Struthio camelus: one gene and its partner. The protein of the gene in region 2 purifies or fractionates together with the protein of the main gene of each other region. This does not show direct contact. Links are inferred from orthologs where the notes say so. Each region holds a gene or a part of one and is shown on either strand. Other genes may lie near its edges.

Evidence for each region. Proteins that work in one complex are often made in the same cells at the same time.
Region 1: the proteins of INTS6 (region 2) and INTS11 purify together in Homo sapiens (affinity purification with mass spectrometry; 3 studies listed by BioGRID, with this or other methods). This does not show direct contact. The link is inferred for Struthio camelus from reciprocal best matches to the Homo sapiens genes INTS6 and INTS11.

Annotation. Positions count from the first base shown.
Region 1 is NC_090962.1:3,816,601-3,827,626, reverse strand, and holds the start of INTS11 (integrator complex subunit 11), read right to left. Parts: upstream 5,223-11,026; 5' UTR 5,222-5,222; coding exon of another isoform or gene 5,100-5,221; 5' UTR 5,086-5,099; intron 5,050-5,085; exon of another isoform or gene 4,912-5,049; intron 4,900-4,911; exon of another isoform or gene 4,498-4,899; intron 4,346-4,497; 5' UTR 4,195-4,345; coding exon 4,161-4,194; intron 3,075-4,160; coding exon 2,977-3,074; intron 1,926-2,976; coding exon 1,852-1,925; intron 1,594-1,851; coding exon 1,365-1,593; intron 1,249-1,364; coding exon 1,150-1,248; intron 1,050-1,149; coding exon 1,015-1,049; intron 286-1,014; coding exon 147-285; intron 1-146. Other genes in the region: CPTP (ceramide-1-phosphate transfer protein), read left to right, coding at 5,100-5,221, 5,303-5,825.
Region 2 is NC_090942.1:193,676,818-193,687,444, reverse strand, and holds the start of INTS6 (integrator complex subunit 6), read left to right. Parts: upstream 1-5,113; 5' UTR 5,114-5,184; exon of another isoform or gene 5,185-5,536; 5' UTR 5,537-5,586; coding exon 5,587-5,697; intron 5,698-5,963; coding exon 5,964-6,041; intron 6,042-6,798; coding exon 6,799-6,948; intron 6,949-10,627. UniProt on the Homo sapiens protein: Component of the integrator complex, a multiprotein complex that terminates RNA polymerase II (Pol II) transcription in the promoter-proximal region of genes.

The sequences.
Region 1 (11,026 bases), on a different chromosome or scaffold from region 2:
TGCAGCAATGCAAGAACTCCATCAGTTTCATATAGCGGTCATGCACGAAGGCTCGAGTTAATTAGCAGTAACCCACAGCACTACAGAATCAACAAGAGCTTCACAGATTGGAAGAGACATTACTTAGGTTATTCCACGAGCCATACCTTCCCTCCTCTTTCTACAGTCTCATGAACCTTCTTCAAGAAATCCCTTTCTCTGCAGCGTTTGGAGTCTCTGATAGTTGTGGCATAAGTGGATTCACTTATTAATAAATCTGGGCGACACTTATCAATCCAGGCAGCCCTAAAACAAAAGAAACGCTTAAAAGCTTATCAGATTAAGAGATGGTATTTGGCATTTCTGATCTGCTAGTCTCAAAGATGGGTGAAGAATGTCACCACCTCTGTTGGCAGATAGGAAAGCAGAAATGCAGAGACTGCAGAGACTGGCTTGCCCAAAGTCACCTAGGGCTTCCACGGCAGCATCAAGTTTCCTGTCTCTACAGGCCATGCTTTCCTTAAACGAATTCAGCCCAGAATAGAAACTAACTCCACATGTTTTGAAAGGCAATTCTTCTCCAATCTGTTACTGGTTTTTAACACATTAAAACATTATTCTAAATATCACCAATATTATAAATCTCTCATATTTACCCGTAAAAATAAAATCAATCCTAATTTTAAAGCTTGTGATCAAAGCTCTCTTAGAAAGTAAACACATTTAGAAGATACTATGGCAATAAAGCATTTCAAATATCTAAACCCCATTACTGCACAGTCTTATAAAAGAACATATGACTGTACGGAACAAGACTACAATAAGGTTTATCGTGAGGAATCAGTGTAAATCTGTTCATTCACGTAATTCAAAATTGCATTCATCTTTCTAGCAAAGGCCTAACTAAATGTTCCAGTCCCCCTTACAAGAACAAAGAAACACTGCTGATAAGGCCCTAGGGAATAACAGAAGCTGCTGCTAAAATCTTCCTGTTTGAAATACATGCAACTCATAGAAACTCAGCTTCCTACTCACCCTAAATGTCTGTCTGGCGTCATGTTGTAATCACCCTAATGGAAGAAGAGAAATCCGTTTATTTTCTCAAGGTAATAGGACACACACTATTAAAAGGAGATGCAGGTTTCTATACATGGTGTTGTGCATACTTACAGTGTAAACAACAGACTCGCATCCAACCTTAATCTGGAACATGGCTGCTCCTAGCACATGGCCCGCATAGTACGCCTTGATCTCCAACTCCTCATCCACCTGCATGAACAGGCAAATAGTGCAGTAGTGCACACATTTTAAAAAGATAAAATTGCTCCGCCTTCCACAGCAATCCAGTTGGTGTGACTGAAGACTATGCAGCAACGGTCGTTTACCTGAACCGTCTGGTGAAGGTGAACAGCAACAACTTTTTTCATGCAGTCTTTAATCATTTGGGACGTGAAGAAGTTAGTTTCCCCTTTCTTATCTACAGTGATTTTCCTATAGTCCTCCAGGAGGATGGGACAGATGGCTTTGGTAGGATGTGTCATGTAAATAGGCCCATCATAGCCGACCATTTCACTGAAGTACGGCAAAGCTCCACAATGGTCCAAATGAAAATGACTGCAAAAAAGACAGAAAAAATGAAGATGTTGCACAGGAATTTAGCCGGAGGTCTTTGGCGCTTGCCTGGTTCTCAAATCTCGTTTCAGGCTTTTAAAAGCACTGCACAACACAGAGGAACTTAAGAACCAACCAAAATACGAACGATCGACCTGAAACTTGTTTGGGTTACTAGTTTTAGCATCGCACAGGGAAAGAACAGCATAGAAAGCGTTCCTGTTTTCCATTTGAGCTGTAACAAGGAAGTAGTTTTCTCACCTGATGATCACGCAATCTAGGAAGTCAGTCAGCCTTCCGTTCTGAGTGATGTAAGAAAAATCCGGAAAGCGCCTCTGCAAAACATAAAAAAGCAGGTTATCTATTACTAAACAAAGCCAGTTAATGCTAAATTATTAATCCAGCAGAACAATGGCATGAACTGTCCACAACACTGGGAACACTGTGTAATCCATCTCAAGGCAAAATTGCAGTAGGTCAGCAGACTGGGCTGGTGTCAGCAATATGGTAAGAGCTGTACATGACACTGTTAAGGCTTATGTGCAGATAGAGTCAAAGAGAAAAAAGGGGGGAGGACCGTCAGGGGAGAGTCAGAGAACCTGATCTTGCAAACAAGTAAATTACAGCCAAGTTTATCTTCAAAGCAAAATAGGTGACCAACGCATTTGAGCTCACCCACAGGCATTAAGGCAAAAAGCCTCAAAATCTTTTCTGAAAAGGCACGTTTGCTCTCTGTCGTGCCTTGAATCTTTCTACTTGTGCAAAATATTTTTGCATTTATGCCTTTCTTACCTGTATCGGGTAACCAAATACCAGGAGTATTATCTAGCTCTACCTCTGAGGCATCAGCAAAGCTTCCATACAGCATGTCTTGGTGTGGATCCCACAAGTAATTAATCGCTCAAGAACAAGCCTCCTCACAGGAGCTATCTAACTAACGGTGGGATTAACGCTTTAAAGTATAGAAGATGCCTGCCCATATGAGGTGCAGCAACAACAAAAACAAGTGGGAATGGGGCATTCACAGCTTGCTTAATATTTTTTCAGAGGCTACGACCCAGGGAGAGGGAAAGAGGATGGCCGGATGGTAGAACTTCACAGATTGGAAATACCTGAGGGGTAGCTCTTGCACAGGAAGACAAGATTTTGGAAGGGAAATACTAGTTCAATCTCGGCAGTAACCCTTCTCCAGCAGTGGCCGATACAGATGCCCAATAGTGCACACCCAGCTAATAGCACCCATGTGCCATGCCAGATGGGTCAGGCAACATTCAAATGAAGGTGAATAGGCCAGGACGATGAACAAGGAGCTCTGCTAGGAAAGGCCAGGCAGATATGCCTTAAAAGCATCTCCATTCAACATTCAGGTTTCCCCACCATACTCACATCATCATTGTAGCCCATGTGCATCCCGCAGTCAAGCATTACGTTCTTCCCTGCGATGGACACTAGGATGCAGCTGCGCCCCACATCCTGGCCAGCCCCTGGACCCAAACAAAAGGAAGACAAGCAAGGCATCTCTAGCAATACTTGCAGTCACTTCAAAAGAGAAGCACTGAAAGATCTCTACAAACTTCAATCTCTAGCCCTAGCTCCCTTCCAGGGCAGGAGAAGGCCACATCCTTTCTTCCAAGCAAGTGGATCCGTTAGAGGGAAGCAGATGTGAGCTCACTTATCCCATTCCCTAAGCTTATGAGAGGGCCTTCCAGCTCCAGTCGCACAACTGCACTTACTACAGCACCGAGTCCAAGCCCATAAGCGGTTCAGATGCAGGGTACATTTGTTTTCTGCCCGGTACTGTGCAAGAGCAGCAACATAGTTTCAAAGCAGTTTTAGGTAAGAGCAAAATAATCTCTTAACTACCTGAAAATATCCAAATTGACCTATTTCTTCTGAGCTACGGGAAATGACTAGCCCAACGGCAGTGTCAATCGCATGAAGCCCAAAGTTCCCAGGGTTGTGCCCCACCACAAATACTCTGCCTCTCAGTGAAAGCACAGATTTCCCTAATGCACCAGGAAGTCTGTTCCAAGCTAGAAAATGACTGACTAGGATAGAGCAGTTTTCCTGCTTGGAACATCCACTGCCCTCTCAGCACTTAAATGCCTGTCAACAGCTTCTGTGCAACTCCCAAAATAATGAAAAATTGCTTCCTATGGATCTCCAGCTCCATCGAGTTTACTAATACTCTATCCATGCTGTACAATACTACAATAAATAACAGAAGACCTCTACAGTACTAGATATGATCTACAAGCCCTTCACCAATATCTGTTAGTGAATCTTTTCATTTAAGAATAGAGTTTGCAGGCTCTATTTGAGTGGCACTTGTTTGAACAGCAAAAGGAGGACAACGACACCCCTATGTTGCACAGATGTAACATACTCAAGTATACAACTGTGACCAGTTTTTGTGGCAGGGAAAAGTACATGCATCTCCAGCGGTCTAAAACACGTTATTACTAACTCCAAATTTCAACTCCAGTTTCGCTTGTTTCTTTTCAAGGAAATCACAGCATACAAAGTTTTTCAGCATGTCTATTTCAGGACCATTTTAGGTTTGGACTTACCCAAGGGAGTGACTTTTATTTCAGGCATTTTCATAAACTCTAGAACTTCAAGCAATACGATAAATTATCTCAGAGATACTCTGATGACAGCCATAAAGTCAAGAAAAGATTTAGCCTTTAGTCACAGCATTGCATTTGTTTTTCAGTATCAGACAGAAGACTTCAGCTGAGGCCTCCCCTTCTTCCTAGAGGGAAGACAGACAGACAACAGAAGTCAGATAAACACACACATTATTAGCTTCTCCTAGAAATTCACATATGTTTGGCTTCACTAGTAATAGTCACGCTTTCTTATGCTCCCTGAAAGCGCACATCAATTTCTTTCTGTTCAGATCACCTTTAATCATCAGATCATCTCAGCATCAGAAGCCTGGCACCACTTGCGCCTTGGAGACAGCCAACCCTAAGGCTTTTCACGCGCGCGACGCCCATCAGCAGGCCGCTGTGAGGAAAGGGCTCCCGCCCCCGCGACGGGCGGCCAGCCCTCAGGCGGCCGTTGCTCCCTCGCGCCGCCGAACGCCCTCCCGAAGCAACCTCGGTTTTGCGAGGCGACACCTCCTGAAACCACCTCGGCGAGCGAGCCGGCCGGCCGGCCTCCCGCTCCCCAACACCGCCGCCCGCCCGCCCGCCCTGCGGCCCGTAGCACACCTACGCCTGCCGCCGCCAGGCGACCCGAATAGGGCCCGCCGCGCCGCGCGCGCGCACACTCGCCCCGCGCACCCCTTCCCCGCCCCGCCCCAACGGCTCTCACCGCCCCGCCGTCCCTGCTCCGCGACGCCTCCGCGGCAACCCGCCCTTCCCCGACCCGGCGGAGGAAGGGGACGTAACGCCGCTCGCGCTTTGGCCAATAGCGCGCCGCGAGGCGCCCCACCGCCCCGCCCTCCTTCCTGCGCGGGGATTGGTCGCGCGGCGAGTGACGCGCTACCCGGCGCCGGGGCGATGGCGGGCCAGCAGGGCGTCTTCTGCCTCAGGGAGGTCCTCGTCGCCTTCCAGACGTGCGTCACGGAGCGGCGGGAGGTGCTGCTCGGCCCCTACCTGCGCGGATGGAGGGGGCTCATCCGGTGAGTGACCGCGGGCGCCGCTGCCCGGCCAGGGTGCCCGCCCGGCCGCCGCTAACGCGAGCCGGTCTCTCCCGCACGCAGGTTCCTGAACAGCCTGGGCGCCATCTTCTCCTTTGTTTCCAAGGACGCGCTGGCCAAAATACAGATCATGGAGAACTACTGCAGCGGCGAGCAGCAGCAGAAGTACCTGACGCTCCAGTCCATGGTGCAGTACGAGGTGGCCAACGGGCTGGTAGATACCCAGAAGCGGTCGGGGCACCCTGACTCCGGCTGCCGGACGGTGCTGCGCCTCCACAGAGCCCTGCGCTGGCTGCAGTTGTTCCTGGAGGGGCTGAGAACTGGTCAGGAAGACTCCAAGACATCAGTGATCTGCACGGACTCTTACAACGCTTCTCTGGCTAACTATCACCCCTGGATTATTCGCAAGGCTGCCACTGTGGCCTTCCATGCTTTACCTTCTCGAAATGCATTCCTTGAAATCATGAATGTGGGCACCCCTGAGGAGGCTGTCGTTATGCTGGGTGATGCCTTACCACATATCTGCAATGTCTATGGGATCACTGAGGAGCTCTATGCCCAACATAAGCTGCTTGATCTCCCTTGATGCGATGGATGTTAAACAGCAACTCCGCATCCTGACAGAAGTGGAAGGTGTGAAAACTATGTTTTCATACATACACAAACTATGGCACTCTTCCTTTCCTTTTCCAGTAGAGAGATAGCAAGCAAACTGGCAAAGCTATTCAGGATGCCTCACTTCGTAAGAAAAAAAAAAATGCACGCATGCACATATGCATCTGCCTCAGCTCTACAGGAAGAAAGAAGTCTAATAGCTTGCTTAAATGGATTTCTTTCCTCCCTTCTCCTGGATTCACCTTCAAAACTCTAGCTAGGTTTTGTGGAGGTTGGCTGGTTTCATTTTTTAAGCCAAACTGAACACCTTTAGCAACTTCTCTGTATTTACACCAATAGTTAGGATCTCATATGACTAAAATTTATGCATTAAAATTCAAGTTCTAACTTCCTGATATGATATTCTAAACATGCTGACACTACATGTCAGCTCACTTTGCCACTTTGTTTACAAGCCGTTCCCCTGAATAGGGCTGACCTTTGCTCTCTCTTATACTTTAACCTTGAAAACAGAATCCAGAATAAGGTGTCTCTGAAAAAAAGCTCTTTTCTTGGTGGTCACAGACTCACCCGATGATGGCTGCTAATTCTGTGCCACCTAGTTTTAAAGATGGAAATGTTGTTGCCTTTTGTTGCAATGAGATACTGTTCTTCCTTTGCGCATGGCGCCATTAAGCAGGAATGTTCTTTTCTGTGGAGCTTCCCCTGCTCGTTATTTTTGTATATGCTTTATGCTTCATGGGAATCAGAGCAATTTTTAGTATGTACTACACAATACTATATATCCAGATAAGGCTCCAAATTCTACTTGTTCTGTTTTCAAGCTGTGCTTCTAAACTGTGTTTTATCATGTTTTGGGGTTTTTTTTTTTCGTTTTGTTTGTTTGTTTGTTTGTCTTTACGACTGTCATATGCATACAGAAATGACATCTCTGGGGAGAAACCTGAATTTGGGCTGTAAGGCACGACCTTGTGAAGCTTACGGCTTCTATTTCAAATCAGTTACGGTGTTTCATGCACAGAAGTCACTTTATTTTTATATATGTGTGTGAAGTGTCTAAAATATGTGAACTAGGTAAAATGAAGTTTACTTAGCTTTTTAAAAGCAGAAGAAACATTAGAAAGACATGAATACTTGAACACTTGGGAGAGGAGGGAGCACCCCACAAATTTAGTCACGTATTTTGGCTGTATCTCTCAAATAGGAGGCACTTGGACTACTTCAACACTGTATGATTCACAAAATCACCATTACTTCATGGGATTAGTCTAACTGGTCATTAAACTGCTTGAGCAACTTGCCTCTGAAGAGCATCCTTTACAGGAATGCTTTATTTTTTGTGGTGTTGGAAGAAACAAAGTGTTCTTATATTCATATCCTGTCCTTCACTAGCAGCGTCTGATTAATTTACGTAGTGATCAGATATGAAACCAATCATGAGAAAAAACGCAGATGAAATTATAAGCTGCTGACTGAGCCCCTATTCTGACTACTCACATCTGTCAACGATGTTTTTTTGCCTGAAGAAAGGAAAATTAGTTTCCTTGCACATCCTAAGTGGAGGTTTTCTTGCTATACTGTGAAAACAAAAATATCATTCCCTTTCTGCTAAGACCACCTTAAAAAAATAACATAATTCCTTAGGATAAGTCCATATATTAAAATGGAGCAGTTCCATGTTACAAACTACAACATATCTCTTCCTGTCCAATACAGATACAGTTGGTATTTCATCTGTGTGGGGTAGTAAATGCCACAATATGACTGAAGTTTCTTTAAACTATGTCACAGTGTTCTGTGCCAAGTGAAGATAAGTTGTCTCTCTCTCTCTCGTGGGTTTAATGCAGAAATGGTAGTGTTACCACGTGGAAAAATTATTTTTTCTCCCTTGTCACATTCATTCTCAGCTGTTGGTCTTATGAGATAAATATTAATGCTGAAAGTGAACTTGATTTTTCCAATTAAAGAATCAAACTTTCTCAGTAGGGGAAAAACGTGTTGGAATTTTTTGGATAGCCAGTCTGTGCAAAGTATGCTTCAAGTAAAATACACCATTTTCCACTGATTTTCATGCTCTCATCTAAAAAAGGTATTTCTTAGTGACACTTATTTTCTTGGCGCGGTGCCCTATCTCCAAACAATGGGAACTTTTTAACAGCTTCAGTTAGTTACTACTCAGTAAAACTAAGGTCCTGCACTTGGCTTCGAGTCTGGCTGCTTTCATTAACGGGGCTAAATCCAAAAGTAAACCTTCACTGATAGTGACCGCTGTACTTAAAAACTGCAATAACATACAGATTCACTAGAGGGAGCTTGAATATTTTGCACAAAAGTCCATCACTTAAACTGTCTCCTATCCCAATAAAGTGTACTTTATTTCACTTGAAAGAATGAATGGGAGTAAACAGGTGCCTGTGTGCAACTCTTGCATCACTCACACACCTTTTTTTTTTTTTTTCCCTCCAGTCAGCCAAATTTGTATTTAGAGATTTTTTAAAGGAATTCTATAATTAAAGCTAACACTTAAATATTCCATTAAGGAGTGAGGGAAAATTGCAAAGGTGTCCTTAAAAGGATGTAGATAGAAACATATCTATATGTAATGTAGGCATGGAAATCTACAACTGTTGCTTGCCTGAAGCATGCATACATATACTTAGCTTTCTACAATGAGACTGCTTCTGTAAGATACTTGGAGAAATAGTCTGGCCTTGTAGCAAAAAAGGCATATCTTGCTTTGGCTGTACAAGGAAGTTCTATGATACAGTCTAAATATGTAATAAGCCAATAAAATGCGATAAATTAAACTTTCCAATTCAGATCTGTCCTGTTAACTATAATCCAAACCTGACAGAAAAACATAAACCACAACACAACTTAAATTACTTTGGTGTAGAACTGACCTGAGTAATTAAATTGAAGTTAACATCACAGGTCAGTATGAGAAAAATCTAGATTGGCCAAAAACCCTTACTAAAATAGCAATATAGCTCACCTAGCTCTTGCAGTGTAAAAATGGTCTGCTCCAGACAAGTTCCTGTGATGCTCTGAGGAAGATTTGGAAGTCTCTGCGATGAGGTGACCTTGAACTAACCAAAAAAAAAAAAAAACCATCAAAAAAACATAAAACTGCTGCATAAGACTCTTACCTTATAGTTTGGGCAACTCAACATACTATTCCAAGATTCATTTAAAAATAAACTAGGTAACATTGTCTCAGTACAGGTCACCTCTAAGTAGGGAAGAGGGTTTTCTTTCTTGCTATGACGTGAAAACCATTGAGAGATGCAGCAGGTGGCACTTCAAGGAGAAAATTAGTGGATGAAAAGGCTCAGAGAAGAATCAGGAAGCTGGAGAATAAATTTTGTACCATGGGAGGAACTTGAAACATTGTAGAGGTATAATATGTCCCAATGAGGATGAATAGTCGAGACTAAGCAAGAGCATCTGTAACTAGAGAGAAACACACAATATGTCCCTAGAGAAGAAAGCTCTCTCAGGGGCACCCTGTCCCAAGAGAACGGCAGCATTTAATGTCTTGACATTCTAGCAATAATTATTTTATATTTCTCCTGCTGCTATTTCATCTCCACTGTTCTCAAAGTTAATCCATATTGTCAGAAGGGACAGGATAAAGGAGAGAATGTTGAATAGTTTATTTAGAGAGGCTGTACTTTAAACAAGCGTTTAGGGATCAATCTTCTGGCTAAAATGAGATGTGAGGGGGAGGAAGGGAAGAAACCTCATGTTTCTCTAGCATCACACAGGACCCTGTATGAGGATAACTGCTTTCCAGGATCTCCTGGGACCAATGTTAGGAAGATAGAAAAAGGCCTGTGAAAGTGTTTTTTTATTCTTTGTGATCTTTTTAAGCATTTGTCTAAAATAGCTTTGAGAACAAACATCCAGCCACAGCTTGTTCTAGGCTTCTGGAAAGCCCTGGGTAACACTTCTGGCTCCAAAGAAGCAAATGGGTTGCCCCAAAGCAATTGTAACCCCCTGCCCCACCACCTCCATGGAGGACACAAACAGCCATGCCATGAGGGCATAGATCCAAGCAGAGTTTGGCTGGAATTTCTGTGTGGTGTCACTTTTCAGACCAAAGGATCAGTCCTGCCAGTCCATTGCAAGGCACAGCTGTGGTGCCACAAGAAGCCTCCTCCAGCAGCACAAAGGGGCTGCTCAGAGCCGGAGAAGAAATGAGGCTGCACAGAGACACAAGCACAGGCCCATATGAGAGCACAAACACACATGTATGCACATAAACACACATCTGCACGTACAAAAACAGACACGATGCACACAATAGACACATTTACAACATACTCAAGAGATACACACACAGAACATGCTCATAACAATGCACACACGACAAACAGGGCACACACAGATGCATACTCACAAGGAGTCACACACACACACACACACACACACACACACACACACACACACACACAAAAGATGCTTATAGGGACGAACCACCCATGCAAAAAGCCTTTCTATCAAACCAACAAACCAACCAACCAAAACAAAATCCATCCACGCTCTCTCTTTCTTGAGTAGAATAATGGCAGACAGGACCCACTGTACAGTAAGAAATTTCAGAAAAAGTAAGAACCTTAGGTAGACACTATCACACGCTGAAACAGCTTAAATTTATCGCAGCAATAGCAGTTCATTCCTCAGAAGGGACAAGAATCATCATTTAAAAGAGCCTAATGGTACTGTGTGAAAAAGCAGTAGCTAGTGAGGAAGCAGATATACAAATGTGCAATACCTGCTAATTGCAAGGTAACATGGGATGTAATAATTAGGCATAGGCAAACGGCAAGATTGGTTCACTTGGAGTTTCTAAGCAGTTTCATTATACACTGTGTGAAGTGCATCAATTTCGCAGCAACTCCCCCTGGGCCTGCAACTCTTTGTCTGCCTTTGTAGCTACCATTTATCATGGAACAAGTCATCACGTTTGCCACTTACATGCAGAATTATTACCTAGTTATTTGTGAGCTTTTAGAAACAGAAACCCAGAAATCCAACCATACCTAAACATATACAGCTGTGTTCCCTGCTGATCAGTAAAAGGAAGCGGCAGGCCTGAATTCTGTTTTTTTTTTTTTTTTTTTTTTTTTTTTTAAACTAAAGACAAATGCTGTCTCTCCTGCAGAGGTT
Region 2 (10,627 bases):
GCAACTGGCTCTGCAAGTTTAAAAAAAAAAAATAGACATTTTCAATCAAAGTCCTAGAACATACATAAAAACTCGAGATCCAGTTATCTTAATGTCATCTCAGTTGTACTTCCCCTCAAAGCCTTCCTAATATTTTGAAAAACTGAACAAGGAGCGGGGAAAGGGTTGTGTAATAATGTAGGAATTAGGAAAAAAGAATTGTCACTGCTTTTGTTCTGTAGGTAGAAAGTTCCTATGATTTCCACTGACACTAAAAGAAAAAAAATACATTTTTTCCAAGTCTGAAAATCAACTTGTGCTTTTCTAGAAAAATTTTTGGGTTTGCATCTCAGCTTAACTGAGCCTTCTCAGTAATTACTCATTCTAGGCTGGATATTGTATGTTTTCCTAAGCTACCTTGAATTGTAAGGAGGAGTGAGTTTCTCTTTGGTAATACTTCGGGGGGTGGGGAGAAGTAGGCTTAAAAACCACTGAACTGAAACTAGTGGAATAACAACCAAGAAGCCCAACAATATAAACTGCTATGAATGCAAGATAAGTGGAAAATAACATTTTATTTATAAAGAAAGCAAATAAAGGGAATGCACAGCACCTCACTAAAAGGATTAGGATACAAGCATTAAAAGATAATAAATTGAGACTCAGAGTGCTCTTCAAGGACATATACTTTGATGATGAACAATAAATAAAATTAAGCAATAGAAAATTTAAGATCTTTATATGGGGAAAAAAAGTCTGAGTAGTGACAATCTACTAGGCTATGAAAGGGCCTTCTAAAGGAAGCTATGAAAAACTTACTCTGCGCCATTAAACTTGGGCTGACAAAGATCTTGAAATAATCTTCACGAAACAGTTCTGTATTGAGGAAGAGAAAGGCCAGCCAAAAAAAGAAAAAACAAAGTTATATTGCCAATTCTAGTTCCAAGATCCACTTGAAGGTTTTTAACATAACATCTTCCATTCAAGCCTGTTATTTAGGACAAAATAACGCTAACAATAAATGATGATATAGAAAAAGATGATTGCACGAGTATCAATTGGGAAACAAAAAAGTTTAAGGAAAAACTCAGTAATAGTAAATGATATCAAAATATTTTTCAAATGATTTTTTCAATATACATTTTCAAATTCATTGGAAGTTAAAGCCAAATTTGCATTTTTAATAGTTATTGTCTAACAGACAGTGGCCTCTCTGAAGGTGAGAAAATGAGTATTCTTAGACATGCACGTGTTTTCATAATCCCTCACGGATGTATGAAAAATAATAGAAACAAAATCTGTGTATGAAACAAGCTGGAAAATGAATAATTTCTACACCTTAAGTCTAAACTGATAATCTTATGCATTATCACTACAGCAAAAGTATTCCTTCAGACAGAGCTAGCTGAGACCATTCATCCAGATTTAAGAGAAAACATAGAACTGTCTCATTTACACTATACATGGGGTATAAATTTACCTACCATGTAAAAAAGCTGAAACCACAGAAAGATACATCTGTTTTCACAGGGATAGTCGCAAGCTCTCTCCCTGCTCACCTGTGTCAGCTCTACCAGTAATGAGCATAAGCACTAATATCACTAGGTTTTGTTCCTTCATAGCAAATCCCTTGTACAGATTTATAAATGTGACTCTGATGGCAGTACTACCCATTAAGACTCTCACATCAAGAGGCCGACAGGCACTTTAAGACTTGGGTTGATTATCTTTTCTTAAAAAGAATCTTTCTCAACATTAATCAAATTGGCCAGCTCCCAGTAGGAAAGTACTAATGCCTACCACAGGCAACACAAAACTAACCTTCATTCTGCCCTATAGGGGATCTAATATGGGTCTCATATGACATGCACAGGAGCAGGAAGGACCAAATGTTCCAAATTACTTCAAAGATAATGGCAAAAAAGTACATATAGAATTCACAAAGTGTTTTTGCTGGTAGAGGTCCCATTGGAACTGCATACAAGTTTCGTGCACGAGATTCTTTTATCAGTGGTAATCATTGGGTCCAAGGGAACTAGGGATAGAGTAGGTCCAGCTGCTTCAGTCCCACCTTCCTCTCGTGTTGGTAAGAGAAAATTACAGTGTGCCTACAGCTTGCAATTGTCATGCTGATTCAGAATTCACGGTAGGTTATGACTGATTCTACCACTAAGAGTTAATGTCTTTTCCCCTCTCTCTCTTCACTTACTGGTAATAAAAAGAAAAATCAGAAATTCCAAACGACCTTCCAGGATTTATGCAAAGTCTCCATGTCTCAGGCTGCCTTTCACAATGACATTTTCCTGGTGTGGCAGTGCTATAAAATGCCTTTACTTTTTTTTCCCCTCCCCCTACCTCTGGAGAAGGGTGCGTTCCAGAAGTTTCCCATTTTTACAACGCTCCTCGAGAAAATGCATAAGGCTTGGCACTTAAGAGTGACATTATTTTTATTTATTATTTTTATTTGGGTGGTCAATGAAACATCAGTGAAATAAAAATAGAAGAAAAGATGGCATGTCTGAAGAATGTGCCTATCTCAGAGATTTAAAGGGAAGCCAATTAGAGGCTGACAACACACACTTACCCAACATTACTCCCAAATGAAGCTACTAATCCCAAGGCACGATTTGTTAAAGCAGCATTATAGCCTTCACTTAACAACCTGAATCCCACCACTTTTGGGAGATGATTACTGGTCCTGCAGCAGCCAGCCTTGTTGACCTTAGGAGTGGCATACCTGAGAGCCAGAAGATACATGCCACTTTCCGTGGAGGGCCGAGGGGAAGCAAGGTGCTCCAATACAGATTGGCAGACAGAAGATAACTGTGAACCACGTTTCTCCAACAGTCCGAACGTTTTACTGCACAATGGGGCTAGGCATGCAGCTAGACTCCAGGGCAACCCAGCAATCCAGCCTCAGCAGCACCCGCTGGTTCACTTCCTCTGACAGCAGGGATTCAGATTAACCGGTAGAACCTGGACCAGAACAGCCTTGCTGCTGGTCACAAGACACACCACCACTGTTGGAGCTCTAAAATTGAACTGCTGGAAAGATGCAAGCTGCTCAAGAGCCAGCGAGTACACACAAGCTTGGCCACTCTCTCACTGCCAGCAAGATCCACACTGAGAAATACTCATAGCAAGAGATGTTACTTATTTGCCAACCCAGTTACCATATTTTGTCTGCACAGACTCCAAAGATCAAGACTCTTTCCTTGCTCCTGTGGAGCCCTTCACACTGGAGACTCCTTAGTGGCCTTAAATGGATAACTGAACTGAAAGGAAGCATCCCTCACTTCACCCCAATGCCTCAGGTCACAGATACAGCGCCGACAAGAAAGCCAAAATAATCTGCTCCCTGGCATAAGAATGCATACAAAGCTATAATGGAAGTATGATTCCTATCCCTCTCCAGCCTTCCTAGAAACTGAATGTTAATCTTTCATTAATCTTAAAAAAACAAAACAAAACAAAACGCCAAAAACAGCTCTTGTCGAACAAGACAGAAATCTTGCCTGGAAAAGCAGGATGAATCAAACCAGAACACTGCTGATATTTTCGTATTTTAAAGAGAAGGAAGGAGCACAGTGGCTTTAAACCTGCTAGAGCAGTGACTGGGAGAACACATCAGCTCGAGCTGGGGAAAAATATCAAGTCAGATAGGAAGCAGAGGCATCTCCTGAAGTGATTATGCTAAGAAACGACTTCAGAGTTAGCGCTCCAAGGTAGGAGAGCATAAACAGAGACACAATTGCTGGGGAAAGAAAAACCCCAAAACAACAACCAAGAGCAGAGATCTTCATCGTTGGAAACACTCCCCGATTATGTGATTGATCGGGAGTGAATGTGGAGCGCCCTGCCACAGATCAAAGAAACATTAGCGTTAATCTCCGTCTGTATGTAGGGGAAAGGGCCACTGCTAGGGCTAGCCAACGTTTATTTATTTATTTTTCCCTCCTCCTGACATCGAGTGAAAAGCCAGTGCAGGTCCCTGAGAAGGTACCATTTAAACGGTCACCTGCACCCTACAGCCACGGCATGTCGTGGACTGGGCAGGCACTGCGTGCCGGGCCCCCAAGCGCCAGCTCCCCCCGAGGAAGGGCCCCCCCCCGCCGCCCACCCCGGCCCCCAAGGCGGGGGCATTTCGGACCTCGGCTTTTCCGGCCTTCCCCCCTCACGGAAGGGGCAGTTTTGGCATCGGCACAGTTTAGAGGACCCCCACCCCACTAACCTTGGAAGGAACAATCCTTCACCACGCCTGAAGCGGGTGACGGGGGAAGTAAAGAAACGCCCCAAGGCAGGGCCGAGGGCAGCCGGCCGGGGCGGGGGGCGACTACCCCCGCCCCCGACGGGGGAGTCCCCCTCCCTCCTCTTCCTCCTTCCGGAGGAAGGCCGGGGGGGGGGGGGCTCCCCACGCCGCCAGGCCCCCCGCAAGACCTTCCTGCAGCCTCAAGGAGAAGCCGCGGCGGGCGCCGGGCGGGGGGCGGCGGCACCGCCCCCTCCCCCGTGACTCACCCGCCCGCTCCCGGCCGAGTCGAGCCGCCGGCGGCCCGCGCTCTCCCCGGGGCCTCCCCCGCCCTCTTCATCCCCGCCCCGGCCCAGCCTGGCGGCCGGCCCCAGTCAAGGGGCGGGTTCGGGTCCGTTACTACCGCGGGCAACCGCCGCCGCGCCCCGAGCCAGGCGGCTCAGCCGGGGCGCGTCGCCTCCGAGCCCGCCGGGCGAGGCGGTCTTCCCCCGTCCATGTGCCGCCACCCTTCTCCTTTTCCTTCCCACCGCCCCGGGTTTCATTTCAGTCGTTTCTCCCCCCTTCCCGCCCCGACCGTTTTCCGAGGAGCTGCGCCCCTCCCTGCACAGGGCTGTGTCACCCCTTCCGCCCCCCCCACCTCACCCCACCCCGCTCGCCGGGCACGGCAGCGCGCGTGCGCGGCGGCAGCGCCGAGGCGCGCGCGCGCCCCCGCCGCCTTCTCCCTCCGCGGCTCCGGCCGCCCCTCCTCCCGCTGATTTGAATATGCTAATGAGGGAGCTGCCCGGTGCCCTATGGCGGGGCCGGGAGGCGGTCACGTGGCGTGGGGACGTGTCTTTCGGGGGCGGGCCCCGACCTGCCCAGGCTGCCTTAAAAGCGGGCGGCGAGCGAGGAAGCGCCTCAGTCAGAGAGAGAAAGTGCCGGGGTGGTGGGGCTGCGGCTGCTCCGCCTGAAACTTCTGAGTAACATCAACAGGGGGAGGGGAGGGCGGGCGGCGGTGGAGGAAGGTGGAAGGCGGGGGGGGGGGGGGGAAGGTTAGCAGCAGCGCAGCCCTATCCGCCTCTCCCTCATAAACCAGCCTGTGTTGGGCTGAGCAGGCCCCTCACACAAAGGAGGGCAGGGCAGGCAGGGCTGCCCCCCTTCCCCCCCTCCTTGGGCGAGGGGCAGCGGGGAGGCGCCCTTCCCCGTGCAGAGCACTCACAGCCACTTACTCCTCTCCTGTCCCCCCCAACCCCGTCTTCTTCTTCTTCTCCTCCTCCTCCTCCTCCTCTTCTTCCCCTTTTCCTCCCACCCCGCCCCGTGGTCCCCCCTCAGCCCCCCGCCCTCTGTCCATGTAGCCGCCCGGCCGCCGGCCCCTCCGCACTATGCCCATCTTACTCTTCCTGATAGACACGTCCGCCTCCATGAACCAGCGCACCCATCTGGGCACCACCTATCTGGACATAGCCAAAGGCGCTGTAGAGACTTTCATGAAGGTACCGGCTCTGCCTTGCGAGAGGAGGCGAGAGAGAGCGAGAGTGACTGCGCGGGGAAGGGGAGGGGGAGGCAGGGCGCGGGGGGCCGCCGGGGCCGGGGGCGCGGGGCGAGGGCGGCCGGCCGGCCGGGCGGCAGTGCGTGTGTGTGCGGGCAGGGAGGGCCGGGCCGCACCGCTCCGGGCCGGGCCGGGGGGCTCCAAGGCGGGGGCCGCCCCGGCGCCGCTACCTCCGCGTTCACCCTCTCGCTTTGTCCGCCACCCCCGCAGCTCCGTGCCCGCGACCCGGCCAGCAGGGGCGACAGGTACATGCTGGTCACTTTCGAGGAGCCTCCTTACGCTATCAAGGTAACCCCCGTTAACCCTCCCCCCCACCTCCCCACACACATACCGCCCCCCCCACCCCGTTCCCCCGCCCCGTGCGGCCCCCGCGGCCGGCGCCGCCCGCCGCGCCTGGGCGCACACGCACGCTCGGGCTCCGGCGGCGGCGGCAGCGCTGACATCAACATGGCCGACATCCCCCCCCCCCCCCCCCGTGCGGTGCGCGAGCAGCAATGAACTGTGGGGGATATTTATTCGAGTTGGGAGAAGTGACAGCAACTCCGCCGAGAGTTGGGCCCGGGGTGGGGGGGGTCGGGAAGGGGAAGGGGAGGGGAAGGGAGGCCGCCCGCCTGCCCGTCGCGGCCCGTGCCCGGCGGGGGGCCGGGCGGCGGGGCGAGCACGGCCGCCGGAGAGCGCCGCGCAGCCGGCGAAGAGCCGAGCTGCCGTAGTTTGAAGAGCTGCAAGAAAGAGTTGGGCATGGATGACCTCACCGAGATTTCGTCCTGCGGAGAGAATCCAAAATACGGCTGGCAGGGGTGGGCTGCTACGATTTTTTTGTGTGTTTTTTTTTGGTTTTTTTTTTTCCTTTTCTCCTCCACGACGACGCGCTCGCCAGCCTGAGGGAGCAACCGCTAAAATATTGCTCGCTCGCCAGGCGTTTGGGTAGCCCTTGTCATTTGCTGTGTGCGGAGGGGAAAGCGCTGCTCTGTAGCCCCAGAGGAAAGCGTTATCCTGTGCACAGCTCCTGTCTGAAGGATACGTCTTCTCACGTTTCTCTTTTCAGGCTGGATGGAAAGAAAACCATGCAACGTTTATGAATGAACTCAAAAACCTTCAAGCTGAAGGACTTACGACTCTTGGCCAGTCCCTAAGGACAGCTTTTGATTTATTAAATTTAAATAGATTAGTAACTGGCATAGACAACTATGGGCAGGTAGGTTGACTATTAATAGGGGGAAAAATCATAAAAGACAAACTTTCCAGGGACAGCAGTTAACTAGTTGTCCAAAATGGCATCTTCATGAAATACTGAATGTGGGGCTTCTTCAAAAGAAAAACAGAGCTCAGGTAGCTTGAGGAAATGTGGTAGTTCACTGTTTTTTGTTTTTTTTTAATCCGACTTTCCTTTCTTATTTCAGTTATTCTTCAATTCTTAAACGCCAGCTTAGCCTTCAAGTTGACCTTTCAGTTAAACTTTGTCTTTTTTTTCATAACAAATTTTATGCTTCAGAACCTTAGCTGATAAGCCTGATGGGATTTGAAAACTTTTCCTTGCATATACAGTGCTGCATAATCAATTACAAGTAATTATAAAGTACACTCTGAGAAATGAGCTACTTTTTGAAAGGCACAGCATGTTTCAGAAATACTGAGTAGAGCATGTCTTTTTCAAAGTCATTTCTTTCTAGTGAGTTACTACTTTCTCTGAACACCTGTATTTTATAAAACTCCCTGCTGTATCAGAGCCTTGGAGCTGTGCTTTTCTAATGCCTGTGATGTGCTTTTCTAATGCCTGTCACTTTAAAGCAGGACATCTTTTGGGGTATTCCAACATTCTTTTGGTCAGTAGTGTGAGTTGCCATAAGCCAGTAACTTTACATTGAACATATGCTTTAGGAAGCATTCACAGTTGTATCTGGCACTGGATCAAACCTGGATTTGTTTTGCATCATAATGGACATGATTAGTATCAGGCAAGTATATTGTGCGTTTTTCACAGAAAACATACTAACTTGAATCTCCCCATTTCATTTGTTGCTCTCATGCAAAATGTTGCTCTCCTGTCTGTGGATTAGTTACTCCACTTGATAGTTAACATGGGTATGTGATTGTGAAAATAAGTCCCCTCCCTCCAAGTCTGAGCACAGTCTCTGTGATAACATGCCATATTTGTTTGGGAAGGAAATTCATCTCTCTCATGTTGCATTGTATGACTTTGCCACTAGGTGATCAAGTGAGCCTAAACATTTTTAAAATGCCAGTTTAGTGATGAAACTTTAAAAAAAAAAAAAAGTGCTACTTCTACACGTTGCTTTTTTTTCCTCTCTGTTCCCATTGCTCTCCTCTTATACGTCTGTGTGCTAATATCTTCTGCTTTCCATCTTTTTTGGTTCAGTTACATGAACTATACAAAGCTGTAACTTTACATAAAAATCAAGGCACACGCGTTAAATACTTTCCCTTTACCACTGGTATGGATGATGTTAAAATTCTAATCAAGTGAGCCAGTTGTGCTCAGCTCAGTTCACGTCATGACTGTTTTGACTGGTTAGTGTTCATTACTGCAAATAGCCGCTCTTGTCTGTATAGCAGTGGCTTTTTCTTTGTCTGGTTTGTTTTGTTTACCAGGCTCTCTCAGGGCTTGAACCCACCCTGGCTTATGTGTTTTAGTTGCTCTGTTCCACATGTGGAACAGACCGTTGAAGAGGTGTTCAAATGTGCAGTCAGGTGACTATATGCTAACCTTTTTTAGTCCTGATTAACAGATGGATTTATGGCAAGTACCAGATCATCTGCTGCTGAAGTCTCTGGTTCCTGTTCTGGCCCTACTAATCAAATTTGCAGGTTTTCATAAATCAGACTAAATTTAGGAGCACTTAACTGGTCCCTCAGCGCTTGCGGGATGAGTTTTGGTGCAGTTAACTTTCCTCAAGTTCACATTGGCCTTTGAGCAATAAGCTTTATCAACCTGTCGTTGTTGATGTTACTTACTTTTACTTCAGTGGGTATTTACCCATACATGCCATGAGAAACCTTAAGAATTCGGGATAATAGAAGTAGTCAGAACACTCAGTTATATTTGAAATAGTTTTCACCCTGAACATAAAGTACTGATTCACTTGTTTTTAAGGAGTTAAAAAAAAAAAAAATTAATACCATAGCATTAAGTTAGCACTTAACTAAAATACAGCAGAGGTGTTTAAAGAGTAATTATCTTAGAATGGGAGGAGAATATAGTTCTACAAAAGCACCATATTCAGATGATCTTGGATGTGGTATTGTGTGAAGTAATAAAAATACACATTTATTAAGCTTTTAAAAAAAAAGCTTAATAAATTCTCTGGCTTAACATCTTTTTGCTAACATGCTTATTTTTGATGGATTGACAGGCTTCTAAAATATTTGCTGAGATCCACTTTTGTTTCTCATATATGAATTGTAAATCAGATTTTTAGTATACATACATATGACATAAAGTTGGTGAGATTGTCTGGTTATGCCATCTAACAACACGATGTCATGTCCCCCTGCTAACGTTGAAGTGTTTGTTTAAATGGCAGCGTGACTCACTGCACTTGATTTCTTTTGAAGTAGACCAGAGTTCTCCATCAGCTGACTTCCTGATCAAGAGTGATGGCTGAATGGTCATTCTGAAATTGAGGAAAAGCTCCAGCTTCATATTTTCTTGCAACATTAATGTGCACACCTTTAATATGAGTTTTTCTGTTTATCATATTACTTTTTCAGTAAGTAAGTACTGAGTCAGTTGCTCATGATGATTGGGTTACCAAGTGTACAGCTGTATTAGCTGACCACAGTATCTCACATTCAGATCTTAAAGTGACATTGTCAACACATTTAGATTATCAAGAACCTGGAAGATTTTTCATCAGCTGCTTCTCATATTAATGCTATAGTCTGTATAAACCCTTTATCTTGTCAAGGGTTATTTAGAGCCACATTTCTGTGAAGATTTTTGTCAATTAAAAAGTACCCAGAGAAGCAGTAAAGCTGACTAGAGGAAAATATTTTCACATACTTGAGGTGAACTTGTTAAGTTTTTGAAAAGGGTATATGTTTTTAAGGTGACTATCCCATTAATTTCTACAGAACTTTCAGTTAGATAAATTTTGTATTATATTGCTTAAGTCCAATAGTAGCTACCGATCTTTTGCATATGCTGTGCTTTGTGCTGATTATGATAGCAGAAGAATGAACCTTCAGCTAAGATGTCAACTTTTTGTGTTACCTAGAAGTAGTGGTCCTTTTCACTTTCTGTATCTTTATAAAAACCTTAATAGAAAAGCACACAGGAGCTAGATGTGTTTAGTAAGAAAACAATTTAGGCACGTTAATTTCACTAAGCTCACTATTATATCACACAAAACATTGCACTTCATTAGCCCAGTTTGCACTTAGTTAATTGTCATTTTTATTATGTTTTCCCCAGGTCAGCTTCTCCATTGCTTTGGGTACTCTGAAAAAACAAGCCTTTTACTAGCAAATTTTCCATTTTCTTGTAATACACTGGTGAATCTTCCAGTTTTGGCTTGTTCAGCAAAACATTTGTAGACACAATTTGACTGAATATTTTTATGAATGAGGCAAACAAACGCAGTTTGTTATGGTTGACAGAACAAACAATAGATGCGTTCCTGAAACTGTTATTTCCACTGAAATAGAAAGCATGAAAAACGTAGCATTAAAAGACACAGCAAAAATGTAAATAAGTGGTTGAGCTGGACCACCTATATGCTGAACTTTTTGTAGTTCGTATTAAAGTTTCTCAGGCTGAACTATGAAACTAAGGTAGGTAAAATATATATCACTGGTGTTTCAATACTCATATGCAAAGGACCAGTACAGCCATGCTGAAACTTTACTCTGATGGA